Macaca fascicularis: one gene and its partners. The protein of the gene in region 1 binds, or shares a complex with, the protein of each later gene. Links are inferred from orthologs where the notes say so. Each region holds a gene or a part of one and is shown on either strand. Other genes may lie near its edges.

Region 1 (7,678 bases):
GTTGTCACTGGCTGGGAGGGAGGCTGGCCCGGCTTGGTGCTGCAGCTCCCATCAACTCCAGGACGCCACAGTCTGGGAAAGAAGAGGAAGGGGGTTCCACCAGGATGCTAAGGGGGAAAGGCCATCAGCCCCAGCTGAGCCAGCAGCCCATGACATGCCGAGGCCTGCTCAGAGTCCCAGCACCCCAGGGGGAACCACAGGGCTCAGAGGCAACCCAGGGCCAGGGTGGCCTCCCCTGGGGCCTCTCCCTCCTCAGCCTCGGGTGGATGCTCCGGTGGTGGTGTGCTCCACGCCACGCAAAGCCACCAGCCTGTCGCTGACTGCAGGTGGCCTCCTAGAGCAATCTGGGGACTGGATGAGACTTGAGGACATGATGCTAAGTGAAACAGACCAGCCAAAAAAGGAGAGTTAGACCTTACTTCTCTTTCATGAGGTCTCTAGAGGAGGCACTCACTGAGGGAGGAAGGTAGAAGGGCAGTCACCAGGGGCTGAGGGGACAGGGAACTGTTGCTGAAGGGCCCAGAGCTTCAACTGAGGAGCAGATCCTGGGGCCGCTGGTAGTCAGGGCCAGACACCAATGTGAGTGTACTCAGTGCCACAGAACAGCACAGTTAGAGACAGTTAAAGTATCCAAATTTTGTTGTACATTTTACCACAATAATCACTTTTTAAAAAAACCTTTAGGGAACAAAAGGTATCTGGAGATAACCACCGCATACCTAAGTTTTCCCCACTCCAAGAAAAACACCCCACATTCCTTCAAATCAGCCTCAGGAGAGGCTGTTTTGAGCCTCCTCCAGTTCATTCCTTCTAGAAGGCCTGAAGCTCATCCTGCAGGCATGAGGGTGGGAGAGGGTAGAACAGAAAAGGCACCACCTGGCCAGCACAATGGCTTATACCTATAATCCCAGTACTGTGGGAGGCTTGAAGAGAGAAGTCCGAGACCAGCCTGAGTAACAGAACAAGACCATGACTCTACAGAAACAATTCTAAACATTTTTTTAAAAAGAAAAAGCGGCCAGGCGTGGTGGCTCATGCCTGTAAACCCAGCACTTTGGGAGACCGAGGCAGGAAGATCACCTGAGGTCAGGAGTTTGAGACCAGCCTGGCCAACGTTGCAAAACTCTCTACTAAAAATACAAAAATTAGCCGGGCCTGGTGGTAGGTGCCTGTAATCCCAGCTACTTGGGCGGCTGAGGCAGGAGAATCGCTTGAACCCAGGAGGCGGAGGTTGCAGTGAGCCGAGATCGCGCCCCTACACTCCAGCCTGGGCAACAGAGCAAGACTGTCTCAAAAAACAAAAAAAATCTTAAAGTAATGGCCTCACACTGCCCCCTGCCAGGCGCAGCAAGGGCAGCTCTCCTGGGTTCCTCCCGCTGGAGTCCCCCATCCTGACTGTGTCTTAGCTGCAAGGGGCACACACAAGGGGGAGTGGCTCATGCAGCCTGAGGACAGCGACACCAAGACAAGGGAGAGAGCAGGCCCAGAGCAGGAAAAAGCCCATGCCACCTGCCTTCTTGGGAAGAAACCAGGAGACTGAGGTTAACTCTCTAGGTGCCCCCACAGCAGGGTCTGGTGCTGGAAGCTGGTAGTGCCTGGCCCCATCCTTGGACTAAAGGAACTAGTGGCGCAGCTGCAGGCTACCATGGGGCTCCCACCCTCCAACAGGTTCTGGACTCAGGGCCCCTCTGCTCCTCAGGGGGCTCCTGGCCAAGTCTGGAGATATTCTGGGCTGTCACCACTGGGCAGGGGGTGCACAGGGCATCCCCACAGCCAAGAGCTATGTGACTCCAGATTCCAAGCACGCCAGTGCTGAGATGCCCTCCTCTGCGCCACGAGCACGGGCAGAGCCCTCGGGGGTCTACTGGGCCAAGGGGAAGGCAAGGGAAGCCAGGTGTGTGCAAAGCTGGGTCACTCTCCTCTCTGAACAGCAGGGATATCATTCCCTAATTACACTGTCCCACGAGGGAAATCTGAAATCCTGCCAGGAGGAAATCTTTGAGAAAAGAACAGATTTTTTTTTTTTTTTTAAGAAAAACTGCCTAAGTTTGTCTATTGCAAGCTCTCAAAGCCAGGCATCTGATTCCTGTCCAATGAAGACAAGAGCAGGAGGTGGCGGGGGGGATGGGGGACCGCCACCTGCCCGCCTCAGCTTTTCCGGCTGAGCTTTCTCAGCTCAGGGTCTCCTCCTCACAGGCCCCTTCCAGCCTGTCCCCCGCCCTGGCCCTTCCCTCAAGCCTCGCCCCCTCCCCACCCCTTCTCTTTCTCAGGCCTGTCTACCCTCAGTCCCCCAGCATCTGAATCAATGCTTTTGAAAGACTGCCCCCTGCCGGAAACAAGGGGCGAGGACATGCTGGGCCTGGGTGCTCCAGCAGGCACCAGGGCGCGGGAAGGGAGCCCGCTCTCTGGGGCTCAGAACTCAAGGGAGAAGGAAAAGACGGAGAACAGGCGGTTCCAGTGCACATTCAGCTAAGAACATTATCTCCTCACTCCATCACCCCTAAAATTAGCTCCAACACGGAGCACTGTGCCTTGGCACAGAACAGTGCCACTTAAACAGAAGCAGAGTCCCCAGTTCCCCAACACTGGAGCCACCGCCCAGCCCCAGGCCTGCTGGAGGGGACCTGGGCCTTTCTCAGGATGGAGATTCTCCAAGCGTGGTAGGATGAAGACGCTGAGGCTTAAAGAAGAGATGCAAGCCCGCATTCCTGGCGGCTGGTCAGTTATCCCTGCTCTCTCCTCTCTGAGCCATCCCAACAAATCACACCACCGCTTGGCAACTGCCTACAAGTTAACAGTTTTTAAGCATTTTCACTCTTTACCTCCTGTGATCCCTTTTGCCCACTTGCCCAGCCATGGGCTCCAGCCAGGGAAAACAAGGAGGAAGCTGCTCCGACAGTGTGCCCCGACATCCTCGACACTCTATGGAATACTGGAGGTGTGCACGATGGCAGTAATGACCATCCCAAACTCTCAAGCGTTACTCTGTGAGTTTGAAGCCATTTCACATTTGTTAGACTTTCAACCTCCTTCATCTAGCCGCCTCCTCTCATCTTCTCTCCTCTATAGTGGGCTATTTTTCTTTTTTAATTCCCAAATTCTAATAGCACATGTAAAAGTTAGGGCTAACGCATCAGATCACGGACACAAGACTGATGTGTCCAACAGGAGAACAAGCTAGTTCAGAAGTTTAAGCACATGGTCCACTTGACTAACCACCCCATGGGACCCTCAGGGCCCCTGGTTCCCAGGCAATGGCAGGGACACCAAGTCCAGGTCTACCCCCAAATCCTTCCCAATGACACGACAGACCGCTGGGGTACCAAGACCTACAATCTAAGAAAATCAGATTAGAGCTGGCTAGCCTGGTGGAGGGTGGCTAGCCTAAGTCTGCAAAGGGCACAGGAAAGATGGGAAGGAGAAAGAACCCCAAATCCCCCATGTCGACAGCAAAGAAGAGACCCTTACTGGTACCACCGATGGTGTTTCCATGCCAAAGGCCAGGGGTTGGCGGGGTTCTAAATCGAAACTGCTATATGGACTCGAAGGGGCAGTGCAAAGAGGATGGGAAAGCGGACGATCTTCCAGAACAACACTTTGAAAGGCAAGAGGGAAGTAAGGCTTGGGTGATTGGAAAAAAAAAAAATTCAATCCAACTAACAAGTCTTTATGTAGCATCTCCCAGTTCCTGGCACTAGGATACAACAGACCTAGAGTCTCACCGGGAAAGCGAGTAATGACTGTGTAACAGAGGAGACAAACAAGGGGCTCTTAAAAAGTTACTTGGAAATTTTTTTTTTTTAAGGCAAGGTGTGAGAGCTGTGGCCAGGGAGCTGCTGCACCGAGGGTCATGAGCTGGGAAGGGCCTGGCCTGGGACGGGGAGGGAAAGCAGTCTCTACTATGGAAGGTGTTTCCCGCGGTTGTGCAACTGGGAAGGAGACCCCAATGACCCAGCACTAAGATCGCCGGAGCGAAAGGAAACGGAGGTGAGGAGGACTCAGGCGAGGTGCCTGGGTGGAGGAGAAGGCTTCCATGTTGGCCAAAGTCGTGGAAAGCTTGGACTTGGGGAACAGCAAGGCCCAGCTCCTTCCGAGGGGAACCCAAAGGCGCGCTGGGGAGAACTCCGGGGAGCGCGGGGCCCGGACACCTTAGGACGCTAGGGTCGGGGGCCCCCAGGCGGCCCACAGCAGGGCTTGGCAGAGGCCCGGGGGCGACCGTTAGGAGCGCGGGGGTGGAAGGCGGCGGGCCGGCCCGGGAGGACGGCGTGCCCTTCAGGGAGGGGCGCCAGGTGCGCGGGGGTCGAGCGGTCGCCCCCCAAGCCGGGCGCCGGCCTCCTGGGGCCTCCCCGAGGCTGGCCGGCTCTGGGGGAGGGTCCCGGCGGCGGGGAGGGGCCGGAGCGGGCGGGAGGGCGGGCGGACGCACCGGGCGGCGGCGGCAGCGGCCTCGGGGAGGAGACGGGGGAGGGTCCTCGTCGGCGGCCCGCGCGCTGGCTCCAGCGCTTCGCTAGCTCGCGGGCTCGGCGCGGCCGCCGCGGCGTCGGGGGCGGGCCTGCCCCGGGGCCGGGCTGTGAGCTGGGGGCCGCGGGAACGCCGGGCGCTTACCGCGGGCGGCGCAAGGGTCCGGTCCGGGGCGTGGGCGGCGCGCGGCGGGCTGGGGCCGGGGACGGCGGCGGCGACGGGGGAGGGGACGCTGGCGCTCCCGCGGCGGCCGCTCCTCTGTGTTTGTGTTTGTAGCAAGATGGCTGCCCGCCTCGCACCACGTGACGCGGACGCGGGGCCGCGGGGCCGCCCCCTCCTCCGCCGCCGCCGCCGCCGCCGCCTCCCTCCGCGGCTCCGGCCTGCGCCGCCTCTCCTCTTGCGCTCCTCGCGTGCCCCGCGCGCCGCTGTCCGGACGCCAGTCGCCCCCGACAGCCCCCACCTTCCCGCCCCGGCACGTGACCCGGGCGCCCGGCTGGTCACGTGACGTGGGCCCCTAACTGCGGGCGGGGTCGGCCCCGGAGCGGCCCCTTCTTCCCCACCTCCTCCGACCCTGCGACGCGCGACCCTTGGAACCGAGGCCGCGGCCTCCCTGGCGGTCCAGTTTCCTCCAGGAAGCCCGCCTGGATGACAGGAGACAATAAAATCCAGAACCCTTCATCAGGCGTCCTGGGATGTGTGAAATAAGTGGCTCAGGCAGATGAGTTGACTCTCAAGAGCCTCTTTTATTTTTTTTTCTTATTATTTATTTAATTATTGAGACAGCGTGTGGCTCTGTCGCCCAGGTTGGAGTGCAGTGGCGCGATCTCAGCTCACTGCAACCTCCACCTCCCGGGTTCAAGTGATTCTCGTGCCTCGGCCTCCCGAGTAGCTAGGATTACAGGCACACACCACCAAGTTCGGCTAAATTTTTGTATTTTTAGTAGTGAAGGGGTTCGCCATGTTGGCCAGGCTGGTCTAGAACTCCTGACCTCAAGTGATCTGCCTGCCTCGCCCTCCCAAAGTGCTGGGATTACAGGCGTGAGCCACCGCGCCCGGCCTCTATATATTTATTTTTTTGAAGCAGGGTCTCACTCTTGTCACCCAGGCTGCAGTGGACTAACCCGATCTCGGCTTACCGCAGCCACCAACTGCCATGTCTCAAGCGATCCTCACATCTCAGCCTCCCGAATTGATGGGACTATAGGTGTGCATCATAGTGCCCAGATAACTTTTTTATTCTCTGTAAAGATGGGGGCAGGTGGTGTGTCTCACAACATTGCCCAGGCTGGTCTTGAACTCCTGGCCTCAAGGGATCCTCCTGCCACAGGCTCTTGAATAGCTAGGACTACATCCGTGTGCCACCACACCCAACTAATTTTTAAAGTTTCTTGTTTGTGTGTTTTCCAAGACAGAGTCTTGCTGTCGCCCAGGCTGGAGTGCAGTGTCGCGATCACAGTTCACTGCATCCTCTTGCCCCCTGGGCTCAAGCAATCCTCCTGCCTCAAGTGCCCTGAGTAGCCAGGACTACCAGGGCACACCACCACACCCAGCTAATTTTTTTTTTTTTTTTTTTTGTAGAGACAGGTTTCCCCCATTTTGCCCAGGCTGGTCTTGAACTCCTGGACCCAAACGATCTTCCTCCCAAAGTCCTGGGATTACAGGCATGAGCCACCATGCCTGGCCTCTCAAAAGTCTCTGTTTCTCTTACAGAAAGATGTTAACACTGCTCTGCGCCCCACCCCCGACCCCCAACTCCACACTCTTCAGTGAGTGCTGTAAGAATTAAAATAAGTGAATGTGAAAGGCTTTGACAGGAGAGAAACTGCTATGCAAATGTGAGGTGACTGAAACCCCCTTTGTTTAAAAAGAGGACTTTTCAAGAACGACTGGCTGAACTTTTTCAGAGCTGCAAAGTTCCGCGTATGCTTTCACCTTTTTCATTGGAAGTTACTCCAGAATGTATACCTTACTGCTGTTGCCCAACACAATGTAATCCTCAAAACAAGGAAAAGGTAAGTTCATGACCTGGAATTTGAGTGCCTGGTGTCTTGCCATGATAGACTTCAGGAACTATTATACCTGGAACAACTTTTGTTTCCCCCACCAAGTACTACTAGGCTTCTCTGCACTTGGCGTTTTCCTGTTTTCCTTTTTTAACTGTTTTATTTATTTAAGAGACAGGGTCTTGCTCTGCTCCCCAGCCTGGAGTGCAGTGGCACAGTCATGGCTCACTGGGGCATCGACCTCCTAGGCTCAAGTGATCCTCCCTCCTTAGCCTCCCGAGTAGCTGGGACTGCAGGGAGTGGCACACCACTATGCCCAGGTATTTATTTATTTATTTATTTATTTATTTTGAGAAAGAGTCTCACTCTGTTGCCCAGGCTGGAGTGCAGTGGCGTGATCTCAGTTCACTGCAACCTCCGACCCCAGGTTCAAGCCATTCTCGTGCCTCAGCCTCCCAAGTAGCTGGGATTACAGGTGTGTGCTACCATGCCTGGGTAATTTTTGTATATTTAGTAGAGGGGGTTTCATCATGTTGGCCAGGTTGGTCTCAAACTCCTGAACTCAAGTGATCCACCTGCCTCAGCCTCCAAAAGTGCTGGGATTACATGTATGAGCACTGCGCCTGGTCTGGCTATTATTTTTCACTTTCAAATTTTTGTACAGACTGAAGTATCACGATGTTGCCCAGGCTCTTCTCGAACTCCTGGGCTCAAGGAGTCCTTCCATCTCGGCCTCCCAAAGTGTTGGGATTATAGGCGTGAGCCACTATGCCTGTCCTGCTGTCTGTTTTTATATTTTATTTAATTTTGAAATTTTTTTCAAGACAGAGTTTCGCTCTGTCGCCCAGGCTGGAGTACAGTGGCGTGATCTCAGCTCAGTGCAACGTCCATCTCCTGGGTTCAAATGATCCTCCCAACTCAGTCTCCTGAGTAGCTGAGACTACAGGTGGGCGCCACCATGCCCAGCTAATTTTTGTATTTTTAGTAGAGACAGAGTTTCACCATTTTGGCTGCCTCGGCCTCCCCAAGTGCTGGGATTACAGGTGTGAGCTGCCACACCCGGCTAATTTTTGTATTTTTAGTAGAGACGGGGTTTCACCATTTTGGCCAGGCTGGTCTTGAATTCCTGGCCTCAAGGGATCCTCCCACCTCAGCCTCCCAAAGTGTTGGGATTATAGGCATGAGCCACCGTGCCCTGCCACCTAGCTTCCTTTCTC
Region 2 (7,079 bases), on another chromosome or scaffold:
CTGCTGTGTTTGGGGAGCCACACAGAGTGCTCTCTAACACCAGCAGACTGTGTGATAGGCAAAGAAACACCAAGTCAAGCCCCTGGCAAACTCAAGTAACTGCAAATTCCCAGAAGTGTTTTGCCTCTAAGTTTTCAAAACCTTGCATACCCCTTGTCTTGTGGCCATGGGGGAAAGGAAGAGAAAAGGCAATGGGCCCACACACTTGTATGGAGAAGATGTCACCACTTCCATGTGTGTGCAAGCTGATGTGCCCAAGGTGCCCACTGTGCCTGGGCAAGGCCCCCACCCATCCTCTATCATGCCACACGGCCTCCCAGCTCAGGGAGTGAGTGAAGAGCCAATAGGAAAAGCTGGGGCCTGTCAAAGTTTTGTTTGGGGAAAGAAAGAAAATGCTACCTGCAAGTCTAGAGGCTAGGCGCGTACCTGCAACGCTAGGTGCGGATGCAATGCTGCTGAAAGAGCTACTGTAGCCGGAGGCACTGAGCGGCCAGGCACTCGAGGAAGGCAGCGTGGCATTCTGAGATGATGGCGGGGAGGACCCTGCAGAACCAAACACGGCACTGAGCAAGGTGGTGGCGGTGTCCGGGTTCGTGACTCTAACTGCGGGGTGTGAGAATCTTAACCATCAAGAATCAACCTCTCCCTAGGCTGCCATTTTTAATAGAAGCCTGAACATGAAAGTGTCATGTGGGAAGGAAGAAACAGGGCATGCCTCCTATTCTGGGTCCCTGTAGCCACTCAGGGAGGCCTGGGATGTTGCTGAAGGCGGAGGAATCAAAGGGCAAGAAGCAGCATGAGCTTCTTTGAGAATTCCCGCCAGAATGCTTAAAATGCCATGTCAGAGTTTTAAAGCACCACATTGATTTCCTCTCCCAAATAAGATAAAATAAAAATCCAGGGCAATCTACTCCTTTCACAGTTCAAACAATGGCTACAAAATAGAAGAACAAAACTCCAAGCCATTCATTACAAAATGTGCCATAAAAATTTGAACATTTCTTCTGACTGGGGTGTCCCATCAGCTTCCGAACTCGTATTTTGCTTAAAAAAATTTTTTTTTTTAGAGATGGGGCTGTTGCTATGTCACCCACACTGCAGCACAGTTGCTATGTCACCCACACTGCAGCACAGTGGCTGTTCACAGGCGTGATCACAGTGCACAGCAGCCTCAACCTCCTGGGCTGGGTGATCCTCTTGCCTCAGCCTCCTGAGCGGCAGGGATCACAGATGCCACCACACCCGGCTCATGATTCCCTTTTTAAATACATGAATAATTAAAAGACATCTGTCCTAATAACTGTGTATATGGACTTGAGTTATTCTATCCCTAGGACTGTAGTTTTCTGAGGAAAGCTCGTCCCTGTGCCTGAAAGGGAGACTTGGGGTAAATGGGCCATCCTTCAGGCACCTCGATCCCTTGTGTGAAAGCTCAGCTCCTCGCTGCTTGGTTTTATTTTGTATTTTCTAATGTGGCTCTCCCTTTCAATTCTGTGAAGAAAGCAAGAAGCTGGAGAAGAGTGAGGACGGAGTAACGGTGACAGCTGGGGTGAATGCAGAATGGAAAGAGCTCTCATTGGGACAATAACTCTGCAGGGCATGGATCCTGGCTAGCAGAGGGAACATAAGCACAGTCTGGCTGTTAAACTGATGACCACACACAGAATCGGATGGTTTCTGAAAAGCCATGGCATCTCAGCTGTAGGCCCACATGACGTTGTGCAGTGAATAACCAGGCGTGTGGCACTTCCTGGACACATGCAGTGTCCAACCTGCACAGTTGTTTGCAGCTGCCCTGCTGCAAGTGACCTCTTTAGAATGAGGGCACCAGAGTTGAGGAAAGTTAGCATTTATGGGTAATCTGCAGGTCTTCACTTTTATTTTTTCCAATTTTTATTTTGGGTTCTGGGAGTACACGTGCGGGTCTGTCACACAGGTGGACTGTGTGTTGTGGGGGTGTGTTGTAGAGATCATTCCATCACCTAGATAGTGAGCATGGTACCTGACAGGAAGTTTTTCAATCCTCCCCTTCCTCCCACCCTCTACCCTCCAACAGGCCCGCTGTCTGCTGCTCCCTTCTTTGTGTTATGTCAACTCAGGCTGTCTGTTTTCTGTTCCTGTGTTAATTTGCTCAGGAAGGTCTTTACTTTAAAAAGGTGTCAGCTTGACCAGGCGCAGTGGCTCAGGCATGTAATCCCAGCACTTTGGGAGGCCTTTTCTTTTCTTTTTTTTTTTTTTTTGAGACGAAGTCTTGCTGTGTCACCCAGGCTAGAGTGCAGTGGCCCAATCACAGCTCACTGCAGTCCTGACATCCCAAGCTCAAGTGATTCTCCTGTCTCAGCCTCCTGAGTAGCTGGAACCACCGATGTGTGCCACTACACCCAGCTAATGTTTTCATTTTAAATTTTTTGTAGAGATAGGGTCTCATTATATTGCCCAGCTGGTTTCAAATTCCTGGCCTCAAGTGATTCTCCCACCTTGGCCTCCCAAAGTGCTGGGATTACAGGTGTGAGCCACTGTGCTCAGCCTGCTAGTGCTTTCTGGTTAGCAACTTCTACGTGAAGAGATGTTCATTGTACTACCCTTTCTTTCAGTAACAAACCCTAATGTATCCTTAAATACAACCAAGAGAGGTACCAGAGTGGAGGAACAAGGTTCCTAGTGCTGGTCATGAGCTGAAGGGGAGGCCTGGCATGAGCCACCTGAGCTGGCTGCTGCTGAATACTGATGTTTGTGCACAAGTGCCAGGGCAGGCTCAAGACCCAAACATCAAGCACCCGGGAAGTCAAACGATGTTCACTTGGAGCTACAAGTCACCCAGGTTGGCTGGCTGGCTGGTTCTTAGGCTCAGGGTTGGAGATGCCACTGCCTTGCCTTATCTCAATGGCCAATGCATTTCTTAGGCTGAGGTTCTCTTCTGCCCTCCCCGCAAGTTGATTTCCTTAACTGGACAGGCTATGGAGCTGGAGGACAGCTGCATGTGGAGCTGGAGAACAGCTGCCACGTGTTTCTCAGGCCATCTTCATCACATCATGGTACACTCAGGCGATGGCGGAGGCCACTCCCAGTGGCCCTGGTTCTGCCTGGAGGCTAAGGGGCCACTTGATCCTTCATCTGGGCACCACTCAGGGAGCTCTGCCATGTATTAAGCAACTTCGATTCTTTCCAACTTCCCTTATGACCTGGATCTGTACAACCTGCATCCCACTTCTCCACAACCCTCAAAATATAACTTTCCTGTCTGGCACAACCCTGGTGCCCCACCAGGTATGACAAGCAGGGAGGGCTGGGTCTCTGATTCTGGCTGGCGCCTCACCTGTCCTCTGCCACACGGCTCCCTTTTGGGTACCACTTGACTGTGTCTGACAGCAGGGACACCCATAACACCCCTGCTCTGAAAAGCAGCTGCATCCGAAAAGCAGCTGTGTAACCCCAAGGAATACACAGCATTAAACAGACAGGGCAATCTGTACTCATGTTGGCCTTCCAGTCAAAGATACATTGAGAAGCCTATCACTTTAAAGAACCACAGAAGCAGTCAGATACACTGGCTCACGCCTGTAATCCTAGTACTTTTGGGAGGCCAAGTCAGGTGGATCACTTGAGGTCAGGAGTTCGAGATCAGCCTAGCCAACATGGTGAAACACCGTCTCTACTAAAAATAGAAAAAATTAGCTGGGTGTGGTGGTGCACACTGTAGTCCCAGCTACTCGGGAGGCTGAGGCATGAGAATCACTTGAGCCTGGGAGGCGGGCGGAGGTTGCGGTGAGCCAAGATCACGCTACTATACTCCAGCCTGGACAAACGAGCAAGAATCTGTCTCAAAAAAAAAAAAAAAAGAAAGAAAAGAAGCAAACACAAAACACAAGGCTCCAATGAGTCATATTTCAAGTGGGAAACTTAATGTTTTGGGAACTACCTAGGTGGCCTTATTAGTGGTAGTACCTATGGCAATCTAGCTCTTTCTTCCACAAAATAGCATGCTGTGATAAAACTTTGTCAGAGATGGCACTTTTATGATAAGACATTACTTATCAATAAATCCAGCAGCATGGGTCACACCTGAGGTCAGGAGTTCGAGACCAGCCTGACCAACATGGTGAAACCCTGTCTCTACTAAAAATACAAAAATCAGCCTGGTATGGTGGCACATGCCTGTAATTCCAGCTACTTGGGAGGCTGAGGCAGGAGAGTCGCTTGAACTCAGGAGGTGGAGGTTGCAGAGAGCTGAGATCGTGCCACTGCACTCCAGCCTGGGTGACAGAGTGAGACTTCATCTCAAAAAAAAAAAAAAAATTCCAGCAGAAACTCAAATTGATGTCCATTTTCCCATAAGCACTAACTGCCGTCTCTTCATGCTGCTTCAGATGACTGCTTCAACTGTGCCTTGTATCATCCCTGCCTCAGAGCCCAACCTGTCACCCCTGACATCTCCAAATGGGTCTAGAGAGACCGTCTGCGCAGAGGCAGGCAGAGCAGCACCCTCACCTCCACTCTTGAGGAGGTAGCGGTTGACATCCTGGATGGTGGTATTGATGGTAGGCCCAGTGGGGACACTGCCAGGAGTGACGTCAGGGTCATTCTCAGGGTCAATATTCTGTAGTCCTTTCCATGGAACTCCCGGATGGAATTCTGTTTAAGAAACCCAAATGAGAAGCCACAGATCAGAACATCTGCACATTGATTCATGACATTTTAAAAGATGTTTTGTCCTGTTTGTAGAAATTTTTATAATCTGCTAATTAAATGAGAGGTACACTTTATACTCTTGATACTCTCTTTCATTAAAACAATCAATCCTTTGGAACAAACTAGAACCAGGTATTCTAGCTATCATATTAAGATAGTTTTCACACAGAGTCGGAATAGTTTTACCAGATGGTATACAGTGTGCTTCCTCCCTGCCACCCCTTCCACTTCTCATGTTGAACTAAGGGATTACAGAAAAATGCCTGATGCTAACCATACCCAAAATTGATCTGACAAATGGATTTCCAAGGAAAATGCCAAAGCTCTGGGCTTAACGCTTCCAGATCCTTAGCTCAGATTCTGGGTCCTCCCAGCCTCATCACTCTCTGCAGGCTTGGAGCACGTTCTGACCTGCTGCTGTTGCACGGAAGTGTTGCACGGTCTTACCTGGGGGCCAGTTGATGCTAGAGCCATTTGAGATTTTATCACTGTCAGATTTGGCACGTGACCAGCTATGGGGAACAGCTACGGGAGGACTGGCTGGTGACTCACTGTTCTGGATTAAATCGTACCGGCCATAGGAGTCATCAATGGAGGACTTACCTGGAGGCCCAATGCTTAGACCTCCAGGGATAGCACCTATGGGGACAACAGGAAACAAAGAAGCGAGTGAATACCCTCCAGTTGAGAGACAGCAGAAGATACCCTAAGCCTCCCTATGCACCTTCTGTTCTAGGTCCAATGCCTTGCTCTATTCGGTTACATGAATTGTAAGACTTGGTCTGTCTAGGATTCTGTAAGAATCAATGACTTTTTTTTTTTTTTTGAGACAATGTCTCACTCTGTTGCCCAGGCTGGAGTGTAGTGATGTGATTAGGGCTCACTGCAGCCTCAAACTCCTGGGCTCAAGTGATCCTCCCACCTTGGCCTCCCAAGTAGCTGGGACTACAGGTGTGAGCCACCATGCCTGGCCAGTGACTATTTAAGCCAGCTCCAATTTCAGCCCTGAAAGACCGAAACCCCTGAAGAACAATTTTAGTTTGTCCAGTTAGAAATTTTTTTTTTTTTTTTTTTTTTTTTTGAGACGGAGTCTCACTCTGTCGCCCAGGCTGGAGTGCAGTGGCCGGATCTCAGCTCACTGCAAGCTCCGCCTCCCGGGTTCACGCCATTCTCCTGCCTCAGCCTCCCGAGTAGCTGGGACTACAGGCGCCCGCCGCCTCGCCCAGCTAGTTTTTTGTATTTTTTAGTAGAGACGGGGTTTCACCGTGTTAGCCAGGATGGTCTCGATCTCCTGACCTCGTGATCCGCCCATCTCGGCCTCCCAAAGTGCTGGGATTACAGGCTTGAGCCACTGCGCCCGGCCTGAAATCTTTATAAAATACATATCCATACCATGGGAAGCTGCCCTTAATAAACCTTTTTGGGGACAACTTATGAGTCTTTGTGATTAGTTATCAAATTTGCTCTTACCTCTTCCCTCCTTTTAGTCTGAAACCCTCACTATGGAAGAACACAGTGGATGTTAAAAATTCATACAGAACCAAACCAACTAGCCACAGGCAGCAAGGCCCTCCTGCTAAGAAAGGTGCCAGCAGTGTGTGATGATTTTCCGTAAGTTAACCATGAGACATAGTTTCCTTTTTCTTTTTTTTTTTTTTTTTTTTTGAGACGGAGCCTGGCTCTGCCGCCCAGGCTGGAGTGCAGTGGCCGGATCTCAGCTCACTGCAAGCTCCGCCTCCCGGGTTCCCGCCATTCTCCTGCCTCAGCCTCCGAGTAGCTGGGACTACAGGCGCCCGCCACCTCGCCCGGCTAGTTTTTTGTATTTTTTAGTAGAGACGGGGTTTCACCGTGTTAGCCAGGATGGTCTCGATCTCCTGACCTCGTGATCCACCCGCCCCGGCCTCCCAAAGTGCTGGGATTACAGGCTTGAGCCACCGCGCCCGGCCCATAGTTTCTTTTTTCTTTTTAGAATGCTTTGTATCAAGAGAGAACTACATAACCTATTGAATTTCCTTTGCTGTTTATTCTACCAGCAAGTTCAGAGCTAAATTTAATGCTTGAAAGTACCTCCTACGGGTATCATTTTTGCTTCCACCTTACTGGTGTGTCCATCGGTAACGAGTTCCTGATGGGGACACCAGTTTGGAGTAAGACAGACTGCTTGGATGGAGGGGAATAACCAACAGAAATGCACCCTAGTATTTACAGCTGCAGTTCCCATACATACTGCATATTTGATTTTCTATTTGTGTTTTACTATTTTATTGAAAATATTTCAGCAGACTCAAGTTTTTGTTGATGAATAGAGATATAAAAAAAAAAGTACATAGGCTATGACCTAGATTCTTTGCTGCTCTGGGGTTTTCAAATTATTTCTAGGTTTGTAGCTA
Region 3 (7,619 bases), on another chromosome or scaffold:
CACTCTCTATCCACCCTTTCACCAGCATTATCTTTTTAAGTGCAAATCTGACATTTAACTTTCATGTTTAAACTTTCAACGGTCCCTCGCTTTTTGATGCCTACCCTCTAAGATAAAGTACAGCAAAATGTAAAATCCTCTAGAATCTGACTCCTGCCAGCCAGGATCCTCCACCTCTAGCAATCTATATTCCCGTATCGGTGCCATTTGCAAACACCACCCCTTCAGTCTGCCACACCATTCCTCCCATGTCTGTTTTTCCTACTAGAGAGAGAGTTCCCTTAGAGCAGTGTCTTATTTCATCTTGGTATCTCCTGCACCCACGGCAAGATGTTGCCTTAACATGCAGCACTAGAAGATGCTGCATAAATGGTAAACCAAAAGGAAAAATAAATGACTGAAAGAATAAATGTGTTCTTGCTTCATAAGCACAAACGTACTTTAGGGATTACCCTCCCTTTCACGAGCAGCGAAACTACCCCAAGGTTTTCAGGTACACCTAAAAATCAATGGATCCAGACAAAAAGATAAATGGAAGGTGAGTTTGCAAAGACAATAAGAAAACCATTTATTCTAGGGTTGGACCATTAACTCATCAGAGATCTCTCCAATCATCTTTCTTGCCCCAATAACTATATATGTGGTCAAATGAAATTAGGCAGTTCTCAAGAATGGTACAAGAAATGCTCCAATTATAATTCAGATACTATCCTATTCAGATACATAAACATGTTGCAGGGTACTTTGTGTTTTTTTTTTTTTTTTTTGCCCATGAATCCCCAGTGCCTGATACATTAAAAGCACACAATAAATATTAGAATGAATGCACTAGTCACATGTTGGGGTCCCTGCTCTCCCCATTTCACAGGCCTAGCTGTAGGATAATCTCAGGAGGTTATGCCCTGTGCCATGAACCTTCCCATCCCTACCCTGGTCAAGACACAACTAGGAAGGGCACCTGACCAAAGGGCAGTCCAGCCCGGGCAATAACCTATGCCCCAGGGCCTTGCTCAAATATATAAGCAGATTCCTCCCCTCAGCATTCATCTAGGAGGAGAAAGATCATAGACTTAGGAGTTGCGGCAGCCATATGCGCCCCATGCAAGAAAAGCCCTGAAAGAATTAAGACAATGAGCAAAAGCAGAGAAAGCCAGGAGATAAGAGATAAGAAAGCCAGGAGATAAGAGAATGGGGCAGATGAGCAGAGAAAATGCAGGGGACTTTCATTTTGTTGCTGGTGCTACCATCTCTCTGGCTTTTATTCAGCCTCCCTGGACTTTCAGGAGACCATCATCTGCGCTTATGATATTCCCTTCCCCTTTATTAAACATTTGGTTTCCTTTTCAAAAGGAGTCTGTCTAGCACACAAGATCTATGGATTAAAAATTACCAACATCTACCAAGCATCTATGGTGTGTATGAGCTACCAGAGTGCTTGTCCCCAAGGACCCAGCTGAGGAGAAAAGGTTCACAGATATATCCATGCCTCAGCACGGTGCAAAGGCCCCTGCTCTGCTCACATGTCCCAATATCATCTCCTTCCTGGTCCCAACGAACTCTTTTCACTCCAGTTGTATCATCGTAATTTTGATGCCCCAATTTTATCCTTCTGCTGTGCTCATCATGTGGTCTCTCCTCAAGAAGTCCTTCTTTGCCTAGTTAACTTGTCCTACAGGACTCAGATCGAGGGCCACTTTCTCTTGGAAACATTTCCTAACCTCTCCCGACCTAGGCTAAGTTGGGCTCTCCTCTTCTGAACTTCCCCATATAAATGTTTGCACTTGTTCCAGCTATACTCTCATGGCCAGTTCTGTCTCCTGATCAAGAACATCTCAAGGGTTCTTCTGCTTAGGCCCAGGACAGCTCTCAACTCTCTTCTTTAGGGCACACCCCTAGGATGCAAACCCTATTCCTCTCTTCTTAGCTTCCAACTCCCACTATAGCCTCTGGGGTCCCTTGCATTTAGATCTTGGTTGAAGAGGGGTATAGTCATCCCAGCATCTTGTTTTTGCTAGTCCCAAGAAAAGCATATACCTTCCTTTCTTTTTAGTGGTTTTGCTGCTTATCACTACCAGGAAACAGAGAAAAAACTAACAAAAATAATTGTCAGAGAAGAAACAATGTTCCTGTGATCCCTGGACCACTTCGGATTCCTTTCTAAGACAGTAAATGGGAACCCTAATGGACCTACACCTAGTGCTTTTATTACCTGAGGGTGGAACTAACCAACTACTCTGCCCTCTAAGCCTATATTTAAGGCAAATCTTATAAGCTACTCTTCCCAGCTTCAAGCTGGATTTGAGTCAAGATACCACTCAGCCTGAAAAATCAGTGCTCTGTAAACTCAGGCAGTCAGGTAGCAACTCTGAGGCTGTCCAGACTGAGAGGAACTTTAGTTAGCTTGCTAAGCTTCTGCCCAGGTATTTCCTCACCCTCTGAACTAGACCAATTCCTTGTGGGCAAGACCTTGGTTCAATTCATCTTTATACCCCCACCATCAGACAGTGGCATAAAACAAATTTCCATTTAATGAATGGGTCTATAGAATCAAAGCAATGAGTGCCAAATACGTGGTTTAGACAATAGTTAGGAATGGGCCCAAAGTTAACGATACAGAATAAAAAGCAAATGATGTAGAATACGGACAAAATCAAGTACAGTGGTCTAGATCTGAAAACCATGTTTAACTACGTCAGGACTGCAGTTTTTGTGAAAGCATCTTAGGGTTTTACATATCAATAGGATCACTGGCAATGCAATCTAAGGACTTGATAGGTCTACCCCCTCTCCACAAAAGCAATTATAATCAAAGGTTTCATTCAGAGAAGTTGAGTCCATACAGTAACGGAGATTAGAGCTAATCTTTAATATGAGCCCATTAGATTATATACTACTGTACTCAGCTCCAGCCACTGGACTTCTGGAAGAATTCTGGCAAACTGGAACATGTCCTTAAGAGCAATGTGGTAAAGAGTGCAGATTAGTAAAGAGAGCAATGTGATAAAGACTCCAAATATGCAGCAATGGCCTAAAAACTGCAGAATTTCTGAATGAAAAACAACATAAAAAAATAAAACTAGGGGCAGGAGTGCTGTTTTCAATTGCTAATTTCAAATGAAAGAAAGCTTGTTTTTCTTCTTCCTGCAATGCTAGAGGGTAGATGTTAAAAGATTCTGGCTCAATATAATAGTTAATAATTCAAAGTGATTAAAATGACCCAGGTTCTTCAATCATAGAAGAGCTAAGATAAAAAAGTGGACAAGTTTAATTTTTCTCACAAGGTGCTTGAACCAAGGTTACACAACAAACCTGGGATAGCCCTTCCTTTCCTGTTGTCTTGGGCATTACTTAATCTCAGAGTCTCCTTTTCCTTATCTGTAAAAGGAGATAACAAGATCCCCTTCACAGAGTTGTTAGAGTAGAAATAACATATGAGGCTGGGGGTGGTGGCTCCCGCCTGTAATCTCAGCACTTTGGGAGGCCAAGGTGGGTGGATCTCTTGAGTCCAGGAATTGGACATCAGCCTGGGCAACATGGTGAAACCCTGTCTCTACAAAAAATACAAAAAAATTAGCCAGGCAGGGTGGCACATGCTTGTAGTCCCAGCTACTCTGGAGGCTGAGATGGTAGGATTGCTGGTGCCCGGGAGGTTGAGTGGGCAGTGAGCTGTGATCACACCACTGCACTCCAGCCAGGGTGACACAGTGAGACCCTGGCTCAAAAAACATATATATATGAAAAGTACCTAGCAAGATCCCTGTGGAAGTCCATTATTACCATTCTTACTGCAGACCCCCAAATGATTTAGGTAGGCCTGAGCTAGATGACCCATAAGATGTCTTCTTAGGATGAAATTTGGTTTGTGCAAATCAGTGGAGGAAGGGGTATAAAGGTTCCAGAAAGCTCCACTGAGGCAGGATGTGGATCTGGAACTAGGTGTTGCAGGGTTTACGATAGAGATGAAATGGGACGGCAGTGTGGGAGAGGTTCGTAGAGGGATAGGCTCAGTTAAACCTAAGGATAGAGAAGAGGTCGGGCAAAGACTTTCTCAAGTAGCAGAGACCTCTCAGCAACCAGCAAACATGCCTGAGGACCTACCTGCCTGGAGTGTTGGAAATCCAGTACTCTTTGAATTTGCACAGTACTCTCTGCATTGGAAAAACCCTAATTTCCCATCAAAAGCACAAGATCACAACCTAAACTAATAGTAGTTCCACTTTACGTTTATATCTCAGTAGTTAGCAATGTTTCACAAATATCTTTAAGCATTGCTGAGTGTGATTTGACCCTTATCACACCCCGCTGTGGCAGCAGGGTACTAACCACTAACGTGGTTTGAGAAACAATGGCTCAGAGACTGGGTAACTTTTCCACAGTCAAACAGCTGGTAAGTGGTGAATCTGGGACTACAAATCCAGGCTTTCAGATGAAGAGGCAGATTTACTAGACTACTGGAACAGAGGTAGGAACATATTCTACCTCAAGATACAATCCTTGGAGGGGAATAAGTAAAAATACTTCTGCATTTTCCCTCTGTACCTCCAAACTGTTTGATGCTGAAACTAGAAACCGGAGCGGGCAAGAGAGGGCGACAAGTATACCCAAGTCTTGGCGAGTGTGTTGGAAGACGGGAACGGGAGTGGGAGGAGAAAGAAAGTAGGAAGAGTCTCAGGAAGATGCTAATTCCTAAGCCAGCCTTCCACCGCGTCGAGGGCAGCCGCCACATTACCTCATTGCATCCTCCAAACTCTACGACAAAGGGTGTTACCGTCCCCACTCTGCAGATGAGAAAACTGAGGCTCAGAGGGGAGAGGGAGTGTGTGGGGAAAGCTGGATTCAGAGACAGCGCGGCCAGACTGCGGAAACACCCAAACCGCCGAGGTCCCCACCCCTCCACGTCGTCGGCAATCCGCATCCACCGGGGCGGGGCGTCCGAAAATCTCCCCCTACCGGGCGGCACAGCCACCCCTCCCCCGGGCTCAGCTCTTCGCCCTCGGTTCGGACGGCCCTGGGGTCTCCGGGACCCCGGGATCCATCGCTCCCCAGCCCCCTCCTCCCCGCCAGCCCAGGCCAGGTCCGGCCGCAGCCTGATCCCGGCAGGGAAGCCGGGGCCGCCGGGTTTGCGCCGCCCTAGCCCCAGTGGGGGCGGGCGCGGGGGAACTGTTGGGGGAAGGGGCCCCGGGGGCGGCCACGAGCCACTCACGCGTCGAACTTGTTGTTCATCCTCTCGCCGCGGCTGTCGCCACTGCCTCAGGGAGTGACTTCCGCTCCACCGGGTCCCTCAGCCTTAGGCCCGGGTACTTCCGGTTTTGCGCGGGGCACAGCGGAACGTCCACGCGCAGGCCCGGTTTGGGGGCGTCTATCTCGGGACGCCAGCCCAGGGCGGCTGCGCAGAGGGTTGGCCTCAGCGGCGGAGCTGGCTTCAGGTCTCAGCTTTGTCGCCGTCCAGGTCCTGTGACCTGCCCGCTCTCCTAAGGGAGCGTGTCCAGGCGCCCTCCTGCAGCGCCTCCGAAAAAAGGCAGCACCGCGTCGTTGACAGCGCGGGCTCTGGACTCGCTGCCTGGTAAAAACCCTCCTCCTCCTCCAGTGCCGGACGCACTCTCCGGTATCTCTCTTAACCTTCCCGAGGCTTTCCTTTGGCGGCAGCGCCACTATACTATGGCATACCTCGTTTTATTGCGCTTCGCAGATAGGACTTTCTAAAAACAAATTGAGGGTTTGTGGCAGCCCTGAGTCCAGCAATTGTATTAGCGCCATTTTTCCAACAGCATGTGTTCACTTCGTGTCTCTGTGTTACATTTTGGTAATTCTCAAAATATTTCAAACTTTTCATGATTTCTGTGTCTGTTATGGTGATCTATGATCAGTGATCTTTGATGTTGCTATTGTTTTGGGGTGCCACATACAGCGTCTTTTATAAGACCGCGAACTTAATGTTGTGTGTGTTCTGACTGCTCCACCCACAGATTGTTCCCCATCTTTCTCCCTCTTCTTGGGCCTCTCTATTCCCTGAGACACAACAATATTGAGATTAGGCGAATTAATAACTCTGCAATGGCCTCTAAGTGCTCAAGTGAAAGGAAGAGTCGCACGTCTCTCACTTTAAATCAAAAACTAGAAATGATTAAACTCAGTGAGGAAGGTATGTCAAAAGCCGATATAGGCCGAAGGCTAGGCCTCCTGCGGCAAACAGTTAGCCAAGTTGTAAATGCAAAGGAAAAGTTCTTGAAGGAAGTTAAAAGTGCTACTCCAATGAACACACGAATGATAAGAAAGCGAAACAGCCTTATTGCTGATATGGAGAAAGTTTTAGTGGTCTGGATAGAAGATCAGACCAGCCACAACATTCCCTTAAGCCAAAGCCTAATCCAGAACAAGGCCCTAACTCTCTTCAACTCTATGAAAGCTGAGAGAGGTGTGGAAGCCGCAGAAGAAAAGTTTGAAGCTAGCAGAGGTTGGTTCATGAGGTTTAAGGAAAGAAGCCGTTTCCACAACATAAAAGCACAGGGTGAAGCAGCTAGTGCTGATGTAGAAGCTGCAGCAAGTTATCCAGAAGCTTTGGCTAAGATCATTGATGAAGGTGGCTACACTAAACAACAGATTTTCAATGTAGATGAAACAGCCTTCTGTTGGAAGAAGATGCCATCTAGGACTTTCATAGCTAGAGAGGAGAAGTCAGTGCCTGGCTTCAAAGCTTCAAAGGACAGGCTGACTCTCTTGTTGGGGGCTAATGCAGCTGGTGACTTTAAGTTGAAGCCAATGCTTTGTTTACCATTCTGAAAATCCTAGGGCCCTTAAGAATTATACTAAATCTACTCTACCTGTGCTATATAAATGGAACAGCAAAGCCCGGATGACAGCACATCTGTTTACAGTGTGGTTTACTGAATACTTTAAACCCACTGTTGAGACCTACTGCTCAGAAAAGAAGATTCCTTTCAAAATATTACTGCTCATTGACAATGCCCCTAGTCATCCAAGAGCTCTGATGGAGATATACAAGGAGATTAATGTTGTTTTCATGCCCGCTAACACAACATCCATTCTGCAGCCCATGGATCAAGGAGTAATTTCGACCTTCAAGTCTTATTATTTGAGAAATACGTTTCATAAGGCTCTAGCTGCCATGGATAGAGATGTCTCTGATGGATCTGGGCAAAGCAAATTGAAAACCTTCTGGAAAGGATTCACCATTTTAGATGCCATTAAAAACATTCGTGATTCATGGGAGGAGGTCAAAATGTCAACATTAACAGGAGTTTGGAAGAAGTTGATTCCCACCCTCATTGATGACTATGATGGGTTCAAGACTTCAGTGGAGGAAGTAAGTGCAGATGTGGTGGAAATAGCAAGAGAACTAGAATTAGAAGTAGAGCCTAGAGATGTAACTGAATTGCTGCAGTCTCATGATAAAACTGTAACGGATAAGGAGCTGTTTCTTATGGATGCACAAAGAAAGTGGTTTCTTGAGATGGAATCTACACCTGGTGAAGATGCTGTGAACATTGTTGAAATGACAACAAAGGATTTAGAATATTACATAAACTTAGTTGACAAAGCAGCAGCAGGGTTTGAGAGGATTGACTCCAATTTTGAAAGAAGTTCTACTGTGGGCAAAA

The links.
Region 2: the proteins of GIGYF1 (region 1) and TNRC6C are in contact, whole or in part, in a crystal structure (PDB 7RUQ), measured with the Homo sapiens proteins. The link is inferred for Macaca fascicularis from reciprocal best matches to the Homo sapiens genes GIGYF1 and TNRC6C. Residues at the interface, in NP_001362694.1 of Homo sapiens: Tyr479, Asp481, Pro482, Gln487, Phe490, Trp498, Tyr503, Phe504, Leu508; in NP_001136112.2 of Homo sapiens: Arg1719, Pro1720, Pro1721, Pro1722, Gly1723, Leu1724, Thr1725.
Region 3: the proteins of GIGYF1 (region 1) and EIF4E2 are in contact, whole or in part, in a crystal structure (PDB 5NVK), measured with the Homo sapiens proteins. The link is inferred for Macaca fascicularis from reciprocal best matches to the Homo sapiens genes GIGYF1 and EIF4E2. Residues at the interface, in NP_001362694.1 of Homo sapiens: Leu36, Ala37, Asp38, Tyr39, Arg40, Tyr41, Gly42, Arg43, Met46, Leu47, Leu49, Tyr50, Glu53, Asn54, Lys55, Val56, Pro57, Glu59, Leu60, Glu64, Phe65, Ala67, Val68, Leu69, Gln70, Asp71, Glu72, Pro73, Leu74, Gln75; in NP_004837.1 of Homo sapiens: His54, Pro55, Leu56, Gln57, Tyr64, Lys83, Gln84, Ile85, Gly86, Val91, Glu92, Trp95, Arg96, Phe97, Tyr98, Ser99, His100, Met101, Val102, Arg103, Leu107, Phe113, Ile137, Arg138, Leu139, Arg140, Gly142, Leu143, Ser145, Arg146.

The regions. Positions count from the first base shown.
Region 1 is NC_088377.1:49,283,042-49,290,719, forward strand, and holds the start of GIGYF1 (GRB10-interacting GYF protein 1), read right to left. Parts: upstream 4,736-7,678; 5' UTR 4,603-4,735; exon of another isoform or gene 4,424-4,602; intron 73-4,423; exon of another isoform or gene 1-72. UniProt on the Homo sapiens protein: May act cooperatively with GRB10 to regulate tyrosine kinase receptor signaling. May increase IGF1 receptor phosphorylation under IGF1 stimulation as well as phosphorylation of IRS1 and SHC1.
Region 2 is NC_088390.1:84,517,938-84,525,016, reverse strand, and holds part of TNRC6C (trinucleotide repeat-containing gene 6C protein), read right to left. Parts: intron 5,329-7,079; coding exon 5,137-5,328; intron 4,633-5,136; coding exon 4,489-4,632; intron 544-4,488; coding exon 427-543; intron 1-426. UniProt on the Homo sapiens protein: Plays a role in RNA-mediated gene silencing by micro-RNAs (miRNAs). Required for miRNA-dependent translational repression of complementary mRNAs by argonaute family proteins.
Region 3 is NC_088386.1:128,465,478-128,473,096, reverse strand, and holds the start of EIF4E2 (eukaryotic translation initiation factor 4E type 2), read right to left. Parts: upstream 5,275-7,619; 5' UTR 5,224-5,274; coding exon 5,204-5,223; intron 4,882-5,203; exon of another isoform or gene 4,735-4,881; coding exon of another isoform or gene 4,730-4,734; intron 1-4,729. UniProt on the Homo sapiens protein: Recognizes and binds the 7-methylguanosine-containing mRNA cap during an early step in the initiation. Acts as a repressor of translation initiation.